Oryctolagus cuniculus: one gene and its partners. The protein of the gene in region 1 purifies or fractionates together with the protein of each later gene. This does not show direct contact. Links are inferred from orthologs where the notes say so. Each region holds a gene or a part of one and is shown in the gene's direction. Other genes may lie near its edges.

Region 1 (4,275 bases):
GTTTTGCGGGCGTTTTTCAACTTCAAATAACTCCTATTCATATCTCAAACTCAAACATCCATAGTCTCTGTGCCAGAAACACTTGACGCACCATAAACACACATCCATGCATTCATTTCATCAACACATCCCGCACCACTCCTCCTCCCACACGAGCCCCATAAGCTCTCCAACCTAATACCGCAGACTCCAGAACCCTGGAGTGTCTGCACTGGCGCTCACGGGACACAATGTCTCCAGTGCAAAGCGCTGGTGAGTAGCTCCATCCCCGTATGCTGCTCAGACTCCGCATCCAGACATCTCGAGCTGCCGGCCAGCGCCAGGCTCCGGCGTCGTTAACAGAGCATTCCGAGCCCCTCTGTAAATCACCCACCCCGTCCCCACGGTCCTGAACACCTCACCCCATTCATTCACAAACAGCCCTTGTTCTGCACCGCAGGACAGCAGGACCCCAAGGTTCCGGGCTGCGCAGGCTGGCCCGCGCCCCCACCTTGCCCCGCGCCCTTTTGCTCTCCGTGCTCCCAGGCAGGCACCGCATGCTCCACGGTCACCCAGAACCGCAAGGCACAGACTCTTGCGTGTGTCTGCCTAGACCAGCCCGCCCGCCAGGGGAGGGTGGCACCTCCGGGAGTGCAGGGGGCGCTGGGGCAGGAGCAGAGGAAGCACCACCTCTCGCCCGCGGACCGGAACCGGACGCCAGGCCGGGCCCCGCCGCGCACCCCGCCTGCCGATCGTGGCCCACCCCACCTTTACGCTCCGCATCGCTGTCGGCGTCACTCCCGAACAGATCCTCCATATCCGCCATTGCCGCTCACGTCCGCTGCAGCCTCGGCTGGGGGCGGCCCCACGCCGTTCTTTACGGCACGGAACTAACGAAACGCGACAGTGTCGCAAAGATATGCTTAAAAGACTCCTTTCCCTCTATGACCTAGTTTCCGCGTCCACACGGTTGGGTGGCGCGGTTCCTCCGTCGGGGTCTGTTCTCACGGGGTGGGCGTGCCCGCGGAGCGGGCGGTGCTTTGGGGAAAGACCCCCGGGCCATCCGGAATCAGGCCCAAAGTCCTTTGTTTCCCAGACCTCTTCTCACCCTCTTAAATATTGTGGAGAATTCCAAAGAACTTTTGTTTTAGATGGTTTATACCCATGGCTACTTACCGTATTAGTATTTAAAGCAGACATTTTAAAAGTGCTAAACTCGTTTCAAGATAATAAACGTTAAATAGTGGGTTTGGGGTAAGTTTTAAATGACTTCTTTTCTAAAGTTTTAGACGAGTGGAATGGTTTTAAAGTTTTGAAGAAATCTTTAATATCCAGCATAAAATACACAGCTGAATTATTTCTGCTTCTAAGTCAGTTGCTTAGAAATGTTTTGGTGGTAGCAGATGAAGAAAATCCGAGTTTAGCTAGAGAGGTAGTAATTGGCAAGGGGCGACTTTCTGAGATGCCCCGAAACGGGCTTCGTGGGACCACACTTGATGACTGCAGCTTTAGAAGAGCTTCGCAAGAGCCATAGCTTGTTCCTTTGCAGCTCTGTTTACGTATAACGCTATGGTTTGAACTCACACAGGATTTGAAACCTCATGTCATAGGTGAACGATACTAAAAGGGTGGAAACAAAGCAATCACAGCTTTCAGAAGCGGGACCTTAGAGGTAGTTGGATTGGACTGGACATGAAGGTGAAGCCCCCGCGAATAAGTCCTGGTGGCTGTGTTACACGCCGGTGCACGGAGTCACACGCGCCTTCTTGCCGGTGAAGCTCTGCGCTGCTCCGTCAGTGCCCGGAAGAGCACCAGCACCGGAGTGCGAACCAGTGACGCCTGCCAGATGCTGGATTTGAACCTGCGGAACTGTGAGCATTTTATTACACCTGTACTGTTTTGTGAAATTCGTTTTCTTGGGTATTTTGTCAGTGATGGAAAGCACACCAAAACACATGATATTGAAACAAATATTTCACAGAACACTATTTTCTTTTCCTACTGAGTTTTCCTATTACCCTATTTCAGTTTTGGTTTCTTTCTTTCTTTTTCTTTTTCTTTTTTTTTTTTTTTTAGAATTTATTTATTTGAGAGGTAGAGTTACAGAGAGTGAGAGGAAGAGACAGAGAGAGAGGTCTTCCTTCCCCTGGTTCACTCTCCATGGCCACAACAGCCAGAGCTGCACTGATCTGAAGCCAGGAGCCAGGAGCTTCTTCTGGGTCTCCCATGTGGGTGTAGGGGCCCAAGGACTTGGACCATCCTCCACTGCTTTCCCAGGCCATAGCAGAGAGCTGGATTAGAAGAGGAGCACCCAGGACTAGAACCGGCATCCATATGGGATGCCGGCGCCACAGGCAGAGGATTAACCTACTGCCCCACAGCGCCGGCCCCTCAGCTTTGGTTTCCTAAAAATGTTGGCAGGCAGTACAACCCAGTATGTTGCTTTCATGATTTTCTAACAGATTGTAACCTGCAAGTAGAAAAATGTTTTTCAGAAGGTTCCACTGGATTTTTTGTTTTGCAAAGAAAATTTTGATGTTGCTGCAGTAAGGCATTATAAAGTCAGACAGTAAAAAAATTCTCATGGTCAGTGCTACACAAACCCCCTTACTTTGCAAAGGCTCCAAGAAATAAAGTGGTTTGCACAGATTAAAGAACCAGGTCTCTAGGAAAAACTCATTCATTTTTAGTCTTTAAAATGTATCCCTTGTGTTAAGTTACTGCCTGATTAGGCTACTATGTAGGTTTTGGTCTTGGCAAGCAACAATGAATTTTTAATTTGGGGATTATGAGATATATTTTTGCTGCAAATAGGAGTGCCTGACAGGGTTCAAATGGGTAAGTATTAAGGTGTGGAACAGGTTATATTATCATTAATCCTAAAATTGCTATGTAAAAAGTGATGATGTAAGAGGATACATACAGATCACCTTAAATCTAACTGGAATACTGGAAAAGCAATTTGTTAGTGATTCAGTTTTTGTTGATTTGTTTAAAGTACTCTCCTTGAAAAGTGTGTTGATTAAATTGTGATAAATTGGATTACAACAAAGCCTGCTGAATAATCATGCCCATATCCTTGACTAGCAGAATCAATGTGTTTTTTTCCCATCGGAATAGTGCAAAACAAATAACTTCTGACTGCTTGATAGATTGATTGGTTTTGTTTTTGCTGGACTTTATGTTGATCATTGCTCTTCTCCTGGCTGTCTTTGTTCACACAGAATAGAATACATGAGATGGGGTACAGCTAAGTCCATCACAGTCATTCTCCAGTAGTTCTTGCCTGAAACATAGCTTGAGTTACACCCAAATCAATATAATTGAAGTTCAGGGTACTAAAACAATCACGTTTACTCCCAGAGACAGTCTCATCCTGTTTGGGTTGTTTGATTCAATTTTGAATGATAAAATAAACCCTCCATTTGTTCCAGGAATGGAGAGGTTCATCCGTTTGGTATATAAATAACTAAAACAACCCTAGAGTAACTTTACTTTGTTTCCCTATTTTTGAAAAGTTGTCCCTTTTGTCTCATGTTGTAATTCATGAGGTGAAGGTAGAGCCTCAGAGTACCATGATGACCCCAATAAAAGAACAAAGATTCAACTAGGTTGGTTACATAATACAGTCAGTATATCATTACAAATATTTTTACAAGGTAATAGAAGCCTTTTGGAATGTATAAAAGATAAGCCTACATCAAGTCACAAAACAGGAATATGTGTTTGATTTCTATATCATCTTAAAGACTTAGAGAAAAAACAACAGTTTGATTAAACAAAATGTATTAACTGAAAATTCATTCCATTTATGGTAAATTGCCACTCCACAGAAGGATCGTGTGGCTTTTCTGAAAGTACTTTGTGGCAAGAGTGGCTTTTGGAAGGGAACAGGTTGAGCTAAACTGAAGAGAGGAAGAGAGGAACCCTGCAGTTTCTGTCTAGAGCAGTAAGAAAACACTGTGGCAGCTCATTTCTTGGAAAACACAGGACATTCCCTCACAGTCTGTCTTTATTAGATTCCTTGGTGAATTGGGTCCTTGCAATGGCTGATGAAGGGATATGAAATGGTGGCAAACATAGTTTTTCATATGAAAGATTTGGGGAGAAATGAGATTCTAAAACATCTGAAGAATTTTTCAGTTTTAGAAGGAAATTATAGTTTTATTTATTTATTTATTTTTTGACAGGCAGAGTGGACAGTGAGAGAGAGAGAGACAGAGAGAAAGATCTTCCTTTGCCGTTGGTTCACCCTCCAATGGCCGCTGCGGACGGCGCACTGCACTGATCTGATGG
Region 2 (4,061 bases), on another chromosome or scaffold:
GGTTCCGTGTGCAGAGCTGTCACCCCCGGCACACCTGCCCGGCACACCTGCCTGGCGCACGGTCGCCCTTGGGAATATTTCAAGGCTTTGTTAAGGGAACCCTCACGGTTCTTGGAATAACTGTCGCATTCTTTGTTATTCTCAAATTATGTAAATATCTACTTAATATTCTGATGAACAAAGTTGATGAACACGTTAAACTGAGCACACACCGTGCTGCCTGAAAATGAGGAAGCATATGAAAACACGCAACCCTGAACTCATCAAAACGAAGGCGTGAGGAACCAGGAAATCTGTGAGTGATCAATTTAGACTCCTGAAAACATGCAAGTTCACACCCCGCGGCGTGACAGACCAACTCAAAACGCAGGTGTGCGATCTAAAGGCCCCGAACGTGCTAAATAGATCCTAAGATGTTCCAGGAAGCACGAGGCTTCCGGGGGTCAGTCTCTGGGGTCCGGGCGTGGGTTGCGAGGAGCAGACAGAACCTGCGCTCCCCCGCGGGACGAGGCGCCCACGCAGCCGGCTGCACCTGAGCCCCGAGACCCCCTGGAGCAAGCGAGGCAGCGAGCAGAGACCCTCTGGGAGCGGGGCCGGCGCGGGCTGACCAGCCGCGAGGGACAGCCTCCCGGGACCCGCGTGGACACGCGGCCCGGCCTCGGGACCTGCCACGGCCCCGAGCGCTCTGAGCACCTGACGCCGCGCACTGATTTAAAAGTCCTCGTCCCCTGGGGGCACCGGGCCGAGTAGGGCGGTCCGAGGCCCTTCCGAAACTCCTGGAAATCCTTCCCCGAGCAAACACCCGCGGGCCACTCACCTGGGCAACCTGGTTTAGACAGCCCAGGTTCCCGCCTCCGAGCCGCCCAGCCCTCGGCCCCGCCCCCCGAGCCAGGCCCGCCCCTGGCCCCGCCCCGCCGCGGCCCCGCCCCCGCCTCAGGCCCCGGCCCCGAGCGCCCCTCATTGGCCCAGCGCTCGCCGTGGAGAAAGTGGCCGGAAGCCAGGCCCGCCCACCGGCCCCGCCCCCGAGCCCGCCCAGCCAGCGGCCCCGCCTCCGTCCAGGCCTCGCCCCCGAGCGCCCCTCATTGGCCCAGCGCTCGCCGTGGAGAGTGGCCGGAAGCCGGCGCGGCTCCGGTCCCCGAGCCAGGCCCGCCCACCGGCCCCGCCCCCGCCCCGCCGCGGCCCCGCCCCCGCCGCGGCCCCGCCCCCGAGCCCGCCCCGCCCGCAGCCCCGCCCCCGTCCAGGCCCCGCCCCCGCGCGCCCCTCATTGGCCCAGCGCTCGCCGTGGAGAGTGGCCGGAAGCCGGCGCGGCTCCGGTCCCCGAGGTAAGCCTCGCGGCCAGGGCCAAGGTCGTCCGCCGGGCCTGGGGCGCCGCCCTCTGTGTCCTGGGCGGCCGCGGCACTTCGCCCTGGTGGCTCGCGGCGGGAGGGTGCAGAGCGGCCGCCGCCTGGACGCGCGGGCGCTGGGCGGCGGGAGGCGCGGCCGGCCTGGGCTCCGTGCCGCGGCCGCAGAGCGACCCCGAGCCGGGCGACGTGGGGTCCGGCGACTGGGTCCTGCTGCGTGGCTGTTTGCGACCCAAGCCCGTGCTCTATTTTTAAAAACCCGTTTCGCCCGTGTGCCCGTGCACACGCCAGCTTTGGGAGCGTTTACGAGTGACCGTATCCTCCACTTGGAGTCGCCCGGGGCCAGACTCCTGACGGAGGCAGTTTCGTCCTTTTCCGGAAAAAACAAAACAACCCCTCCCCCTCAGAACCGCTAAGGCTTATTATGGGCTGGCGTTACCGAACCCAGTATCCCAGGGTTCGGACGGGGCTCACGGTGCCGCCTGCAGGTTGGAGGTGGCAGCGTGGCTGGGCCTGAGCCCGCCGGGTGCACCGGCCGTGATGGCCGCATCTGCTCGCGGGTCCGCGGGGTCCGGTGTTGGCGCCCCCGCCCCGCCTGCTGCCTTTGCGGTGCCTGCTCCGCGCCCCCGCCCACTGCGGGGAAGACCCTGGCCTCGCGTCCTGAACGCCGGGCTTTCTGTCTTGATTTCTTGTGTCTCTCACCCATGTCCTGCCTCCTCCCACTGCATGTATGCTTTAAAAAAAAAAAAAGAGATTTATTTATTTGTTTGAAAGGCAGTTACAGAGAGGCAGAGGCACAGTGAGACAGAGAGGTCTTCCATCCACTGGTTCACTCCCCAAATGGCCGCCAAGGGCCTGGGCCGAGCTGACCTGAAACCAGGAGCCAGGAGCTTTTTCCAAGTCTCCCACATGGGTGCAGGGGCCCAAAGACCTGGGCCATCTTCTGCTGCTTTCCCAGGCCCTAGCAGAGAGCTGGATCGGGAGTGCAACAGCCGGGACTCGAACCAGCGCCCACATGGGATGCCGGCACTGTGGGTGGCGGCTTTAACCTGCTACGCCACAGCCCAGCCTGTGTGCTTTTAAAGTTTATTCATTCTCTCTCTCTCTAACTTTGCTTTTCTGACTTTCCTTCTCTCTGTGTAACTTTGCTTTTCAAATAAAATAAATGTTTTTAAAAGTTTATTTTTAATTATTTGAAAGGCACACAGAGAAAGGTCTGTGTTCCAGCCACTGGTTTGTTGTACCTGAAACGTCCAGTTCCGACCAGTTAAGTCTGCCAGGAGCTGAGCTAATGCCTGGAGCAGCCAGAGCCTGGCCAGGTCAAAGTCTGGAGCCAGGAGCTGGGTCCCCCACTTGAGGGGCAGGAACCCAAGTCCTTGAGCCATCCTCTGGGGAAGCTGGGTTGGAAACAGAGGCTTGACTTGAACCTGGCACTGTGTGCTGCGGGATGTGGGAGTCCCAGGTGGCAGCTTGACCCGCCGTGCCATGAGGCCTGCACCTGCGTGTGTGTGGAGAGACGTTTGCCAGCGCAAACACTGTTGATCGGCCAGGGCAAAGGCCGTTTCAGAACCTGGCTGTGCACTTCGGCCTCCTGCCGCCTCTGCCTCGTATGCTCTCTGCTGACTTCCCTCCCAGGGCCAAGCTCACGTGGCCTTCCTAGGAGCCAGCGCACCCGCCTGCAGGCCTCTCCTGGCCTTACAGCTGCACCGAGCCCCGCGGCGATGCGAGCCAGCGAGAAGGACTTGGAAAAGGCGGTGAGCCAGCTGCAGCTCCTGAAGGAGGACCCGGGGAACGCAGTGAAGCTGCGACTCTACGCCCTGTACAAGCAGGTGAGCGCCCGAGGGCTCCGCCTCTACGCACTGTGTAAGCAGTGAGCGCCGAGAGCGCTGGAGCCCATGACTCCTGAAGGAGACCAGCTGTGTGTGCTAACCTGCAGCTGCGTTTGAATCGCGGCCTCTCCTCCTCAGAGCGTGTGTGTGTGTGTCTGTGTGTGGGGGGGGGGGGGGGGTTTGGGGTCCAGGAGGCCTTGAACCAGTTAAGGAACACAGTAACCCCTCAGGACCACTGCCAAGTAAAAGAGACTTAGATGAGATGACACTGGAATGTGTAGACCTTATTTGGCTCCTGATTAGAACAAACCAACTGAAAAGCAGATTTTGAGACAATTGGGGACATTTGGATAAGGACTAAGTGTTAGGAGATACCCAGGAATGGTGTCACCATTATATAAAAAAAAGTTGGGGAGGGGGGCAGTGCTGTGGCGTGGCAGGTAAAGCTGCCACCTGCAGTGCCAGCATCCCAGACAGGCACCGGTTCAAGTCCCAGCTGCTCCACTTCTGATCCAGCTCTCTGCTATGGCCTGGGAAAGCAGTAGAAGATGGCCCAAGTCCTCGGGCCCCTGCATCCGCATGGGGGACCCGGAAAACACTCCTGGCTCCTGGTTTTGGAATGGCCCAGCTCTGGCTATTGCTGCCACCTAGGGAGTGAACCAGTGGATGGAAGACCGCTCTCTGCCTCTGCCTCTCCATAATTCTGCCTTTCAAATAAATAAATAAATCTTTTTTTAAAAAGTTGGTATTTTTTAGAAATTTATAGTAAATATGTAGGGGTGAAATGGTGAGATGTTTGAGATTCACTAAGCAAAAAAGAAGAAAAAAAAGGATAGATGAAGCAAGCAAGGCAAAATGTGACACTTGTTGAATTGGGATAAGGGGTTGGGAA
Region 3 (4,300 bases), about 60 Mb from region 1:
GAACTTTTTGAAGTATTCTCATCTTTTTATAGTGATTGTAAGTCTTATTTATGGGCATTTCCTGAGATTATTTACATATACTCAGACAACTCCTCACCTTCATCTGGATTTAAAGCCCTGTGTTCATAGCTATGGAAGTACAGGCTCAAGCATTGATGTGTCAGCACTTCTCTATGGGTTCTCAGATACCTTGATGTTTTTTATTTGGCTCTGGGTCCATGCTGGTAACTGCCTTCTGTGCTTGTCTGTTGTTAGTTTGAACGCATTAATTATGAAAGATCATTCCCTTCTAATTTTCTCATCTTCCCTTAGTTGCTCCTCAGATAGTGCCTGAATAATGCAGTTCAGTAGGGGAATTACAAGAGGAAAAACTAATAGTTTGAAAGGATCTCTTGATACAAGGCTATATCACATGTATGCTGTGCTTGCCAAAACCTGTAGTATAATTAAGGAGATCTGCAAAATTTGGACCATGACAATTAGGAAAATTTAGCTGAGGCCACCTTAAAAGGGGGTAAAAGATAACTTGGTTGAAAGGAGGATATAATTTCATAGTTTTATCATAATCTTTCATGAAATTGAATCTAATGAGTTTGACTGGAAAGACTAGGACGTATTTTCATGCAGTAACCAAGGAGTTTTGGCTAATGTGTGGTGAATCTACGTAAATATGGAATAAGTAACACTTTGGTTTGTATATGTGCGTGTGTATGTATATAACTATTTCTTTAAACATTTTCATTTTTGGTGATTTGTTTTCTTCATCTGTTTAAGAACCCTATCACTAAAATGTGTCATATTGAACCTGTTGCCATAATTTTGAGGTCTCAATCCATGTCCTAATTTTTTTGCTCTTACATTAAGTAGCGAAACTAAACCAAAATAAAAATTCAGCCTCCAAAATCCAAACTTCTTTATTCAGTAAATTTGCATTTTATTACTAGTTTCAGCACTAATTCTAAAATCTTGGGCAAGTCAGTTAATCACTCTGAGGCTGCTTGATTTTTTAAAGTTCTTATGTATGAAATAGCTTTATTAGTTAGTCAAGTTGTCTTGAGATTCAAGGTAATTACCAAGCAGAGTGCTTTGTAAACTCATAACATTACACAGAAGTAGAAGGTATTATCACAGATTGAGTTTCCTTTGTCTGAAATAATTGAGACCAGAAATGCTTTATTTCTGAGTTGTTCGGATTTTGAATACTTGTATAGACTTTATTGGTTGAAAAATTCTATAATTTGAAAATCCAAAATGCTCCCAATAAGCCCTCAGATTATTTAGGAGCATTTTGGATTTTCAGGTTAGGGATGTTCAACCTATACCATGTTTTCTCAATGAAAATATCATTTAAGAAAACAAAATGCTGAAGAATAGTTCTTTGTAGTAATTATTCTTCTGATGAATTTTGCATTGACACCTAATTTAAAGTTTCAAATTATTATTTGAACAATGAATTGGATTTATATATTAAAGTGTTCTAACTAAAGATTTGTTTAATTTATTAGAGTTATTAAGCCTACGCTCAGATCAAGTTAGCAGCTAGACTGGTGTGCCAACCTGTTTTTAATCAGTGACTCAAAGCTGTGATCACCCTGATGTCACCGAATGGCCACAGCTTGTAAAAGGTAATTTTGAATGTTATGTTAGAGCCTTTAAAAGGCTGCCATTGTAAAGTGAAATACATGCTGTAAAAATGGAGAAAATGTGTAGTTGGCAGAAACACTGCCAAGAATAGTGGACCTAAGAGTTGATTTATTTCTTCATTTAGTCTCATTCTGAAATATTTATTTTTTTCCCCTCATTCAGAATATCAGTAGCCACCACTGAAGACTTATCTGTGTGGATAAACAGGAAAGCATTTCTCAAAAAATTTCAAGTTGTAACATATAAACATTTTATTATATACATTGTAAAGGAGATTTGTAATATTTCTTAATAAACATTTTAAAGTGTGTCTTTTACGTGGTGGGTGTTTTAATTAAGATACGTTTCTAGAAATTTTTATAACTTTAATAAAACTAGTATACTTTTCTCTCCTAGAGAGTTACAGTGGAGGTAAAAGGAGTGGCTTGCAGGATGGAGAAGCTGCACCCAGTATTATTGGAAGTGAGCCACCGTTTGAATTTGCTAGCTAATGCTGCAGTATTCAGATTAGTGGGTGTTTTGTGATCATACTTTTTGCTATTCAAATCAAGACTTAAAATTGAGACTTTTCTAAGCTGTATTTTCTATTTTTTTAATACTACTTAGTTATGGCTTCGTTTTTAAAATTTTCTTTCTGCTTTGTTACTCTGCTGGTTTAAGATAACAATGGCTTTTTTTTTTTTAATTTAGTAAAATTATGAGCACATAGTGGATTGTAACTCCCAACATCTTAGCAGTAAAGAATAAATAAGCTCTGAAGGAGCCAGAGTAGAGTGTGGGAACTGTTGTATAAGGGGGCCTTAAAAAAATTCATGTCCTGAAAAAAACATGTAAAAATTTAAAAGTTTTTCTGTATCAAAATTGTAATTCCATTTTTCCACAAAGTTTTTGAAGTGCCTTTGTGTGTTTCATAGTTTGAAGAGTTTGTATCCTAACTTTAGGATAATTTTTGGTAACTTTAAAATATTATTGAAATGTTTAAGCAAGATGACTAGAAATTTATTGAGAAATGGATCATTAATACTGCAAGAAGAGTGTTTATTCTCTGTATATTCATTTTTCTCTCGATTTAAAAAACATTTCCTATTTGAATAGAAAGTAATATGCTATATATGAGACCCAGAATAGATTTATTTTAAGGAAAATTTTTCAATTTTTTCTTATTGTTTTGTTCTTTTTCTAGACTGGATTGGTTTAAATTATTTGGTTTGACTCATAGACGGTTTTTAGTAACTCACTTTAACATACATAGATATTAAGTAATTATCTAGTATAACAATAGTGACATTTTGATACAAGTGATCACATACTGTTTAGGGGAAAGAAATTGGGAAAAATTGATGTTGAACTTTATCTCTGTCCTGTTTCAGAATCTCAAGACTTTGCAGCCATTATATGTTTTACTTTAAGGTTTGAGCTTGTTTTCCTTTTTGGCTGTGTCTTTCCTTTTTTTGCAGTACTATTTTAATTTTCCTATCATTAAGTCCCATTTTTCCCCTCACCTTGCCCTGATAATTTTTAGAGTTTGATACCTACATGTTTGAAAGCTTCTAATCTGCCCGTCTTCCCTCAGTGCCAGCACGAATTTAGTTTTTGTTTTGCAAGCCAGCTCTGTCTCTTTATAGTATGATATCTGATGCTAGGGGGTCACACTTGGCAAAAATGAATCAGCTGGTACATGGGCATATCATCAGTTTTTAGCTCTTCTGTCTAAAAGATACTAGTTTGGAAGCAATCTTGGGGTACTTACCCCACAAGGCTGGTAGAGACCAGGTGTGTCACAGAGGTGATTTGCTTGATCCCTGGGGAGAGGGTAGAGTGAAATTTTTACATTGTGTAACTTCAAAGTCACTACCACCTCCAGCATGCTCCGGTTTTTAGTTCTTAAACAATTTTCTATAAAATTTAAATATACTGGAAAGATCTAAAATAAATATTTGAGCTGCTGGAGTATTGCGTCCTTCGAATATGAATAGACTACAGTGAGTGTAACTTTGAAACCCTAATAAAAATTTTTTTTTGAAGCCCATAAATTTGGGGAACATTTTCTTCTAATGACTCTGATTTTAAAATTCTTTTAAGTTTTTTTTTTTTAAGTTGGATATCTGAAGTCTGATAAATTCACAAATCAAGTCCTTATAGTACCAATTTGATATACAGGTTTTGACTTCAAAGAAAATTTTTTTAACCTTTATTACGAATTTGAAACATTAGAAATTGGTATTATGTTGCTGTACATTTTTTTTTTAAATAAATTTGTGTATTTTTTATTTGTAAGAGTAACAGTTTGAGAGAAAGAGAGATCTTCTGTCTGCTGATTTGCTCCCACAGTGGCTGCAATGGCCAAGGCTGGGCCTAGCTGAAGCCAGGAGCCTCATTGAGGTCTCCCACATGGCTGGTAGAGTCTCAGACACTTGGACCATCATCTGCTGCTTTTTCCAGGCCGTTAACTGGGAGCTTGATTGGAAGTAGAGCAGCTGGGACACAAACTGGAACCCATATGAGCTGCCAGCTTTGCAGGTGGTGGCTTTATCCACTACAACACAACACCAGCCGCTGTTGGATTACTTTACAGCAGTGGTTGACTAATGCTGTTTATAAAAATGAATAAGGTAACAGGCTTTTTTTTTTTTTTTATACTGTAATAGTCATGGAA
Region 4 (4,073 bases), on another chromosome or scaffold:
CAAATAAATAATCTTTAAAAAAAAAAAAAAAAGACAACAACTCTGCTTAATCATAAAAACAGCAGCAAACTAGTTCATCCTCGTCAAAGACCAGTAACATCCATCTTCTTCCTCTGCAGCCTGGCTGGGCTGAACCGAGGTGTCCGTTAAGGCACCTGGTCTGCTCCCGCCTAGTAGGCCCTGGATACCTAGGGCCTAGGCACAGAGGTTCGGAGCAACTCACCCCGGAGACTCCGTTGATACTTCCCCAGAATCTCCTCCAGGGAAGAGTTCCCTGGGGACTTCGCCATGCACAGACTCTGGGCCAAGAGATGCGAGTTACGTGGGTTATCGTCCAGTGTTCTCCCTTCCAACAACAGCCCTAGCGCCCGCCCGCCTCCTGCCGCAACTGTCACTGGGGAGCCTGGAACCACGGACGCAGCTCGTGGGGTCTCTTCCCACCCTCGAGCCCTCGTGATGGACATTGGGAGTTGTAGTTCTAAGGCTCTGGCTCTACAGCCTCGAGAATCCTAAGAACCTTCCAGCTGCACTACATTTCCCAGAGGGCACTGCGCTCCTGGCGTTGGCTTCGGCGGTTTGGCTACCACAGATCGTTGCCACGAGACCGGCTTGCGGGCTCCTCCCTTTTCCTCTAAGCCAGCCTGGCTAGTCCCGCCTTCACCCTGTCCTGCAGCAGTCCGGACCACCCGGCTGACAGAAAGGACTTTCTGAAGGCCCGGACGCTTCGATCTTTACTAATATGCAATTGATCCTTCAGGCTTCTCTGGGAAGCGAATAATCTCTGAACCCTCCTTCGGTCGCGACATTTGTCAAAACGGTCCAATTCTTAAGAAATAAGAAACTCTAACTCTCCCAAACAGCCTGGCTTGTAAAGGCGGCCAACACTACAACTCCTAGCATGCCAAGCAACCCGACCTCCTCTTGCAGTTGGCGCACTGCCCGCCGGGAATTGTAGTCCTCGTTGGTTGCAGGTCCCCGCTAGAGCCAGAGTTCTCTTCATTGTTCAGGCCGGTCTTTGGGGACACGCCTGCGCAGTGGGCAGCAGGCAAGGCGTGTGAGACCCTCCGCACAACCCCCTTTCATTGTCTGTGTCTGGCGCCTGCGCAGTAAGAGATCGCTGGGACTGGGCTGGAGGAGTGGATAGGGCCCAGCACCTCGCCCTTTCCCCAGGCGCCTGCGCAGTCAGCGACCGCTCTTTGCCGTTACCGCTATGTGTGGGGCGTGTGTGGAATAACGTTATTGCCCTGCGGAACCGAGGGGCCGGGAGCTCGACCGCAGCTGCAGCGACGAAGGCAGCAGCGGCGGAGACGACGACGACGACGACGGGGTGGGGGAGAGGACGGCGTGCGAGAGACTCACGGGACGCGACGCGCCCCGCCTCCCCCGTCCGGTCCCTCTCTCTTCACGGTGAGGGGTAAGTGATGCGCTCCGCTGCCTCGGGGTGGACGCCGCCGCCGCCTCTGCTTTTCCACAGCCTGCTCGGATTTGCGCCGGGGGCTCGGGGCGCGGCCCCTGGCGTGGCGGGGGTGCAGGGAGAGCCTTCCCGGATGCTCCGCGCGGCGTTACCACCCCCATCGCCCAGGACCTGGGGCTCGGCGGGGCCGCTCCTCCCATCCCCCCATCCTTGATGGCCTCCGGTCCTCGCTCCCCACCCTCCGCCGTCGTCTGGGTCCTCCCGGGCCCGTGGCCGCGGTCTCCGCCTCCCCTAAGTGTACTGAATCGCTTGCAGCTCCCTCCCGGCTTTGTGCAACCCTCCCCCATCGTTGGAGCAGTTTGCGAGGGGTGCGGGCGGAGCATCGGAAGGAATGGCTGCGCTGCCGCTGGGGAAGGGATTTTTTTTTTTCCCCAGTGGGAGCAGCTCCCAGGGCCGAGTCTTTTTGTGTGGTTGGATTTTGGGGTATGAGGCAGTCGGGGGAGGTCAGGCGAGGGCCCTTTGCACGCGTTGGGAGGGCGTGGAAGACGCGGTGTCACGCACCCTGCCAGGCGACTGCACCCGGGGTACATCTCTAGCTGGCTGGATTGTGAACCCCGGGGAAGGGAGAGCGACTTCCTGTCGGCTTCATTGTCCTAAGATTCAAATACAGCGTTTTGGGTCCGCTTCCCTTCCATTTTCTGCGAGGGGGAGAAATACTAGCAGTGTCTTAACACCGGGCGGGAAGACGTGGGATTCGTCTCCCCAGTCGCAGCATCTCTGTTTTGTGGCGTTCGGTAGAGTTTTGATTTATTTTGTCGAAGAATGTGGGGGAAGACACGGACCGTGCTTGCCAGAGTGCACGCACTGTCAAGGTGATCAATGTAAAATTACTAGATGACGTTGAAGGCTGGGCGAGAAGGGGCCTGACAGCCGAGCGGGTGTGTAGCAGGGAAATGAACCAGGAGAATTGTTTTTTTTTTCCACTGGGTGGGTAACGCATGCATGGGTCCTAAGGGAATAGATGAAGCTACGTCTTTCCCTTTTATGTTTTAAAGCAATCCAAACAAAAATAAGGATTGGTGTATTTGTTTCTGAAGCTGTTTGCTCATTTTTATTCTCTTCATGAAAATTCAGCCGTTTGGGAGGAATTTGGTGAAGTGGATGATCCATGCGATTGAAAATGCGTCTTTTAAAATGATTTGCTTGTTAGGATTGTAATGCTTGTAACCATTTGCTGGCGTCTCTGTGTAAAATAAGCCCAAGAAAGAATGAAGTAGGCTGGGGGAGAAGATGGAGGAGTAGTGTGAGTTATATTATAAATACAGTTTCTAGATCTTTACTGATACAACCCTAATTGGGTAAACTTCAAAGCCAGGAAGAAATTCAGCTATCAAATTGTTTTGTAGTTTTCTGCCATTATTTTTTTGAAAAGTGAAAACCAGCACTGTTCTTAGTTCTTCCTAACTTCATAGATACTGTAGAATTTTGCTTTTTTTTTTTTTTAAACGGAACAGTCGCTTGAAAAAAACTAAAACTCACTGATTTGTCTGCCCAAGCCAATGTGCTAACAGAAAGCACAGTCAAATAAAACCAAGGTCTGTTCTACAGAGTGATCTTTACTGTGTGCCCTCACCTTCCACCCTGTGAACATTTATGGAAAGCTTCTGTACTTTTTAATTTGTGTGTAACAGTAAACTTAATTCTCTCACTTGTATTAATCTAGTCCTTCTTTTTGTGATGTAGAAGTAGTAATTCTACTGAAACTGAATTTTAGCTTTACAAAGTAACTTACTAATAAGGGAAGATACCCTAACAGTTCTTTTCATGAAAACAAACTGTTGGAATGTTTTCACTTCTACTTATTAGTAACCATATTTTAATATTATTTCTTGAAATTTAATAGTATTTTATAATATTATGTTCAACTGTGAACTGTTAAAAATAATATTTCTCCATACTAAAAAGCTATGAAGCTTATTTTTCTATGATTAATGAATTTTATTGTTTTCAACTTAGAGTTTCCCTTTGAGAAATGTCATCTTTCTGTTTTTAATTGGGTCGACTTTATAAAAAAAAAGGGGGTTTTATTTATGTCAACTCATAATTTCAGTTCTTTAATTCTGCATTGCATTTTAATAGATATTTTCTTTAGAATTTATTTCACTTTAATTTCAATTTAAGAAGCCTCTGTCATTAAGTTCAGTATGGGGAATCATATTGAAACTTTAAATGCATTTTGCTGGTAAATTTCATGGTGTTCCAAAATTATTTTGTATGGAAATAATCTGCATGTTTCCTGTCCTATTTATCTGTAAACATAAGCATACACTGTGTGTGTGTGCGTGTGTGTGTGTATGTATGTATGTATGTATGTATTAAGGTGCTTTTTGAAACTCTGTACTTGGTGATTTGTTTCATTTGTTCTAAGCATCAGTTTCATGTTCCTTTTACCTACCGGAAAAAAGTTTTATTGTTATATTTGATAATAATTAATGTTCATTACCAAATACTGTATGTATTTAAGGTTTTGTGAACATGTTTTTTATTCAACAGAAATCTGTTCCTGAAAAATACTTCATACTATTTTAATCAATATGTAATGATTTTTTCTTCTGTATCTTAAACATCTTGGGGTTAAATAGTGTGCTAGTGTAGTAAA
Region 5 (4,186 bases), on another chromosome or scaffold:
TATTGTACATGTGATTTTTTTTTCCTGTTCATACATTTGTGCTGCCCATGTACTCTTGGCACATTTCAATAAAAATTGTTTGGAAAATAAAGACCAAACTTGCTGGGGTGTCAGGACATGGTGCCTCCCTCCCTCCCACTCAGTCTTCTGCAGAGGTGCAGGCAGGCCAGGGTGCAGACTCAGGATTGACGCTGGAGTGGAGCCGTTTGGCGAGAAGTCTGGCAGGCCCGGTGGCGTTGTTAGTGGGCCCTGCCCAAGCCAGGGCCTAGCTCCAGAGTGGCGTGAGGGAAATGGCAGGCTGGGTGTACAGCACGTGGTTGTCACCACTTGAGATGCCTGCGTGGAGTTCTGGCCACTCCACTTTGCATCCAGCTTCCTGCAAATGTACACCCTGGGAGGCAGCAGATGGTGGCCCGAGTGCTTGGCCCTTGCCACCCATGGGGGAGACCAAGGTTGATTCCTGGGCCTCTAGAAAATGAACCAGTGGATAGGAAGGAGGTCTGTATCCATCTTTGAAATAAAATGAAAATAAAAAGTGAATGGTGTTAAAAATTTAAAACTTCCAGAGAGACCCCATAATGGGCCTTAATTCTAAAAAGTGAACACCTGCTATTTAGTAAGTTTGAGGTTAGCAGTTTTTTGTGAATTTTTCCCTGAAAAGAATGTTCTTGGCATTGTATGGTGTCCTGTCTTCCACGTTCTGAGCTGGCTTCCTTACCCTTGCCACTGTCATTTACTTAACCCCGTCGTAAAGGTGTTCCGAGGTGTGTGGCTACCGCAGCAGCACTGCAGTGTGTCTACGAGCAGCCTGCTACCCTGATGCTACTCTGGACGCAAACTCCTGCTGGTGGCGTGGGCTGAAGGCTGGGGCAGCAGTGGCAACGGGACGTTGTGTCATCCCCCTCCCTCCCGCTTGAAGATGGGAACCTGTAAAGATGGCTGGCTCGTGGGGGGTGCGGTGCAGTCTGACATGAACTTGGCTTAAGGACTTTGACCTACACAGAGATGTGGCCTGCAGAGGAGGGGGTCACAGCTTCACCTTGGGGTTCACTACATGTACTTGAACACTTGTTTTGTGAGCTTCCTGTAAGGACGTTTTGAAACTTAACACTTGGCATCTGAAGCCAGATGGCTTCTGTCGGAGAGCGGCTTCGCCAGGGGAGTTTGAAACCTCTGGATGAGGAGAGACTACAGTCACCTTGCTGCCATAAACTTGGAAACCCACTAGCGTTGGCTTTTACTTCTTATGTGAGGTTTATTTTTTTTAAAGATTTATTTATGTATTTGATAGTAAGAGTTAACAGGAGAGGCAGAGAGAGAGGTTTTCCATCCACTGGTTTACTCCCCAATTGGCCACAATGGCTGGAGCTGTGCTGATCTGAAGCCGGGAGCCAGGAGCTTCTTGTGGATCTCCCACGTGGGCCCAGGGGCCCAAGGACTTGGGCCATCTTCTGCTTTCCCAGGCCATAGCAGCTGGATCGGAAGCAGCCAGGACTGGTGCCCATATGGGATGCTGGCGCTGCAGGCTGTGGCTTTACCTGCTGTGCCACAGTGCCAGCCCCTTTATGTAATGCTTTGATAAAGACACATTGTCTGATGATCAAGTCAGCTTAATTGGTATATATATATTACCATAATTTTGTGATGAAAACGTTCCAGAACCACCTTAGCTGTTTGGAAATAGACAATATGCTGTTAACCTTGCTGTGCAAAAGAATAGGTTTTTTGTTTAACAGGAAGGGAGAGACTTTGTTGGTTCACTCCCCAAATGGCTGCAGTGGCCAGGGCTGGGCCAGCCAGGAGTTTCATCGGGGTCTGTCACACAGGTGGAGTGCAAGCACTTGGGCCAGCCTCCGCTGCTCTCTGCACACTAGTAGGGAGCTGGATCTGAAGTGGAGCAGCCGGGACTCAACCAGTAACTATGGGATGCAGGTGCTGCAGGAGGCCCCCTAACCTGCTCTGCCCCAGGATCAGTGTTTTCCCAGTATGCCCTGGGGCGCAGTTTCATCTCCTGTTAGCACTCCTTGCAGGGACAACATCCCATGTGTGTGCAACCTAACCTTTTACAGCGAAGCATCCTACCAAATGTCCTAAAGTTGTATCCTGTCACATCTTGGAAGTCTGGGTAGGAGGTCCAGTGTGCTCCAGTGGCCCTGCGGACTGTCCCCCACGGCAGAGCCTGCCTATCCGGGCTAAAATCAGGAGACATGCGCGTTAAGCAGCGTCCCCTCCACCCACTGGCCCGCAGCCCCTGGCATTTCCGGGCGTTTTCCGAGGGCTCTTTCTGCGCCCGCGTCCTTGAGCTAGACGCCCGCTGCCTAGATCCCGCAGCCCGCCTGTGATCCCGTGCCTTTACCGCATGATCTCTTCACCAGTTAACATGAAGTGACTGCGGCCATTGCGTCCTTGGACACAGGACCGGGCTGTGATAAACTTTACCCCGCAGTCATAACAGTTGTTTCCTCGGGCACGGTTCCCACTGGGACAAAGTTTTAACGCTTAAGCCTCAGCATGCCGGCCGGCTTGCGGCGCTGTTGCTGGTTGCCCTTAGTAAAGATGGCGGAAGGGGCGCTTTAGGGCTGTTCCACTGCGGCTTCCGTGCCCTCACCTGACATGGCGGCCTCTTGGGCCCGCCCCTTGGCTTCCTCCCGCCGGGTTCCACGACTCGGTCCCGATGGCGACGGCGATGGCGGCCACTCGCGGTCTCCGCGACCTGCTGATGCGGCGTGAGTCACTTCCTGACCTGTGGGGATCTGTTGTGCTGTCCAAGCGGCTGTAGGACCACTCGGGGTCACGGAGGGTCCTCGCGCCCCCGCCTAAAGGGTTACTCATTACAGTCTGGGGGCACTGATGACTCCATGTCCCCATGGGTCTGGAACCACTGAGCAGTGCACCCTGATGTTAAACCCAAGTCTCTGAGGGGCCGTGTTCCCCGCCTGTGGGGCCCTGGTGCGCCCTCTGCTCTCAGAAGCGCTGTGTGCCCCCTCGGGGGTCCTCAGAGGCCCTTCCTTCCTCTGTCTCCCTAGGACTGGCAGCTCCCAGCTGCCCGGGCTTCAGCCTTGGCCTCCGCCCGCTGGGCACCTCCGCCCACGGCGAGGCCCCCAGAGCAGCCCCCTGCGAAGCCCCGGGCCACAGCTACGAGTCCCTCCTGGTGACGGCCGCCCAGAAGCATGTCCTGCATGTGCAGCTGCACCGGCCCGACAGGAGGAATGCCATGAACAAGGCTTTCTGGAGGTCTGGCGGCCCTCGGGGTGGCCGGGGTGGGGGACAGACGGATGGCCGTGAGCCGGTGCGGCCCCTCATCCCTGGCTCCTCCGCAGCGAGATGGTGGAGTGCTTCAACAAAATAGCGCAAGACTCCGAGTGCCGGGCCGTGGTGATCTCCGGGGCGGGGAAGATGTTCTCGTCAGGTACCTGCGGCGCCGCGCACCCCGCCTCCCCGCGCCTGGCCACAGAGCCGCGCTTCCAACTAGCGCCTCGATCCTTTCTTTCTTGAAGTCCTCACTTAAGGCATTCAGCTCTGGAAAGTAGCCTTGACCTCTGAGAGCCTGTAGCCAGGAGCAGAAGCGCGTGGGCTCCCAGCCCTGGCCCTGCGTCTTTGACCTCTGAGAGCCTGTAGCCAGGAGCAGAAGTGCGTGGGCTCCCAGCCCTGGCCCTGTGTCCTTGACCTCTGAGAGCCTGTAGCCAGGAGCAGAAGCGCGTGGGCTCCCAGCCCTGGCCCTGTGTCCTTGACCTCTGAGAGCCTGTAGCCAGGAGCAGAAGCGCGTGGGCTCCCAGCCCTGGCCCTGTGTCCTTGACCTCTGAGAGCCTGTAGCCGAGTTGGCCTGGCGCTCCCACACCCTCGCCTGCTGGGCTCGCCTGCATTCTTCGCATTTCAGCTGTCCGTTCTGATTTCCATGGGGTTTATTTTAAAAATTTTCTATTTCTGTGCTGAAGTTTCCTTTCTGTTTGTCATGAGCTTTTTTTTTTTAATTTTTCTTTTTGTTTAAGATTTATTTTATTTATAGAAGAGGAGGAGAGAGTAAGGTCTTCCTTTTGCTGTGTTCGCTCCCCAAAATGGCCCCAACCACTGGGGTTAGGCCAGGCCAAAGCCAGGAGCCAGGAGCTTCCTCTGGGTCTCCCACATGGGTGCAGGGGCCCAAGCACTTGGGCCATCTTCCACTGCTTTCCTCCATGCATTAGCAGGA

What was found. The genes of interacting proteins can lie anywhere in the genome.
Region 2: the proteins of MAPK6 (region 1) and ECI2 purify together in Homo sapiens (affinity purification with mass spectrometry; 3 studies listed by BioGRID and IntAct, with this or other methods). This does not show direct contact. The link is inferred for Oryctolagus cuniculus from reciprocal best matches to the Homo sapiens genes MAPK6 and ECI2.
Region 3: the proteins of MAPK6 (region 1) and UBE3A purify together in Homo sapiens (affinity purification with mass spectrometry; 3 studies listed by BioGRID and IntAct, with this or other methods). This does not show direct contact. The link is inferred for Oryctolagus cuniculus from reciprocal best matches to the Homo sapiens genes MAPK6 and UBE3A.
Region 4: the proteins of MAPK6 (region 1) and CEP170 purify together in Homo sapiens (affinity purification with mass spectrometry; 3 studies listed by BioGRID and IntAct, with this or other methods). This does not show direct contact. The link is inferred for Oryctolagus cuniculus from reciprocal best matches to the Homo sapiens genes MAPK6 and CEP170.
Region 5: the proteins of MAPK6 (region 1) and ECH1 purify together in Homo sapiens (affinity purification with mass spectrometry; 3 studies listed by BioGRID and IntAct, with this or other methods). This does not show direct contact. The link is inferred for Oryctolagus cuniculus from reciprocal best matches to the Homo sapiens genes MAPK6 and ECH1.

The regions. Positions count from the first base shown.
Region 1 is NC_091443.1:74,672,804-74,677,078, forward strand, and holds the start of MAPK6 (mitogen-activated protein kinase 6), read left to right. Parts: upstream 1-1,475; 5' UTR 1,476-1,850; intron 1,851-4,275. Other genes in the region: RNA polymerase-associated protein LEO1, read right to left, coding at 748-805. UniProt on the Homo sapiens protein: Atypical MAPK protein. Phosphorylates microtubule-associated protein 2 (MAP2) and MAPKAPK5.
Region 2 is NC_091436.1:166,179,968-166,184,028, forward strand, and holds the start of ECI2 (enoyl-CoA delta isomerase 2), read left to right. Parts: upstream 1-1,261; 5' UTR 1,262-1,322; intron 1,323-2,518; exon of another isoform or gene 2,519-2,975; 5' UTR 2,976-3,061; coding exon 3,062-3,169; intron 3,170-4,061. UniProt on the Homo sapiens protein: Able to isomerize both 3-cis and 3-trans double bonds into the 2-trans form in a range of enoyl-CoA species. Has a preference for 3-trans substrates.
Region 3 is NC_091443.1:14,372,259-14,376,558, reverse strand, and holds the start of UBE3A (ubiquitin-protein ligase E3A), read left to right. Parts: upstream 1-1,500; 5' UTR 1,501-1,605; coding exon 1,606-1,625; exon of another isoform or gene 1,626-3,446; intron 3,447-4,117; exon of another isoform or gene 4,118-4,256; intron 4,257-4,300. UniProt on the Homo sapiens protein: E3 ubiquitin-protein ligase which accepts ubiquitin from an E2 ubiquitin-conjugating enzyme in the form of a thioester and transfers it to its substrates.
Region 4 is NC_091444.1:63,281,728-63,285,800, reverse strand, and holds the start of CEP170 (centrosomal protein of 170 kDa), read left to right. Parts: upstream 1-1,273; 5' UTR 1,274-1,414; intron 1,415-1,962; exon of another isoform or gene 1,963-2,286; intron 2,287-4,073. Other genes in the region: SDCCAG8 (serologically defined colon cancer antigen 8), read right to left, coding at 224-464.
Region 5 is NC_091449.1:15,908,542-15,912,727, forward strand, and holds the start of ECH1 (delta(3,5)-Delta(2,4)-dienoyl-CoA isomerase, mitochondrial), read left to right. Parts: upstream 1-1,386; 5' UTR 1,387-2,674; coding exon 2,675-2,726; intron 2,727-3,026; coding exon 3,027-3,234; intron 3,235-3,320; coding exon 3,321-3,409; intron 3,410-4,186. UniProt on the Homo sapiens protein: Isomerization of 3-trans,5-cis-dienoyl-CoA to 2-trans,4-trans-dienoyl-CoA.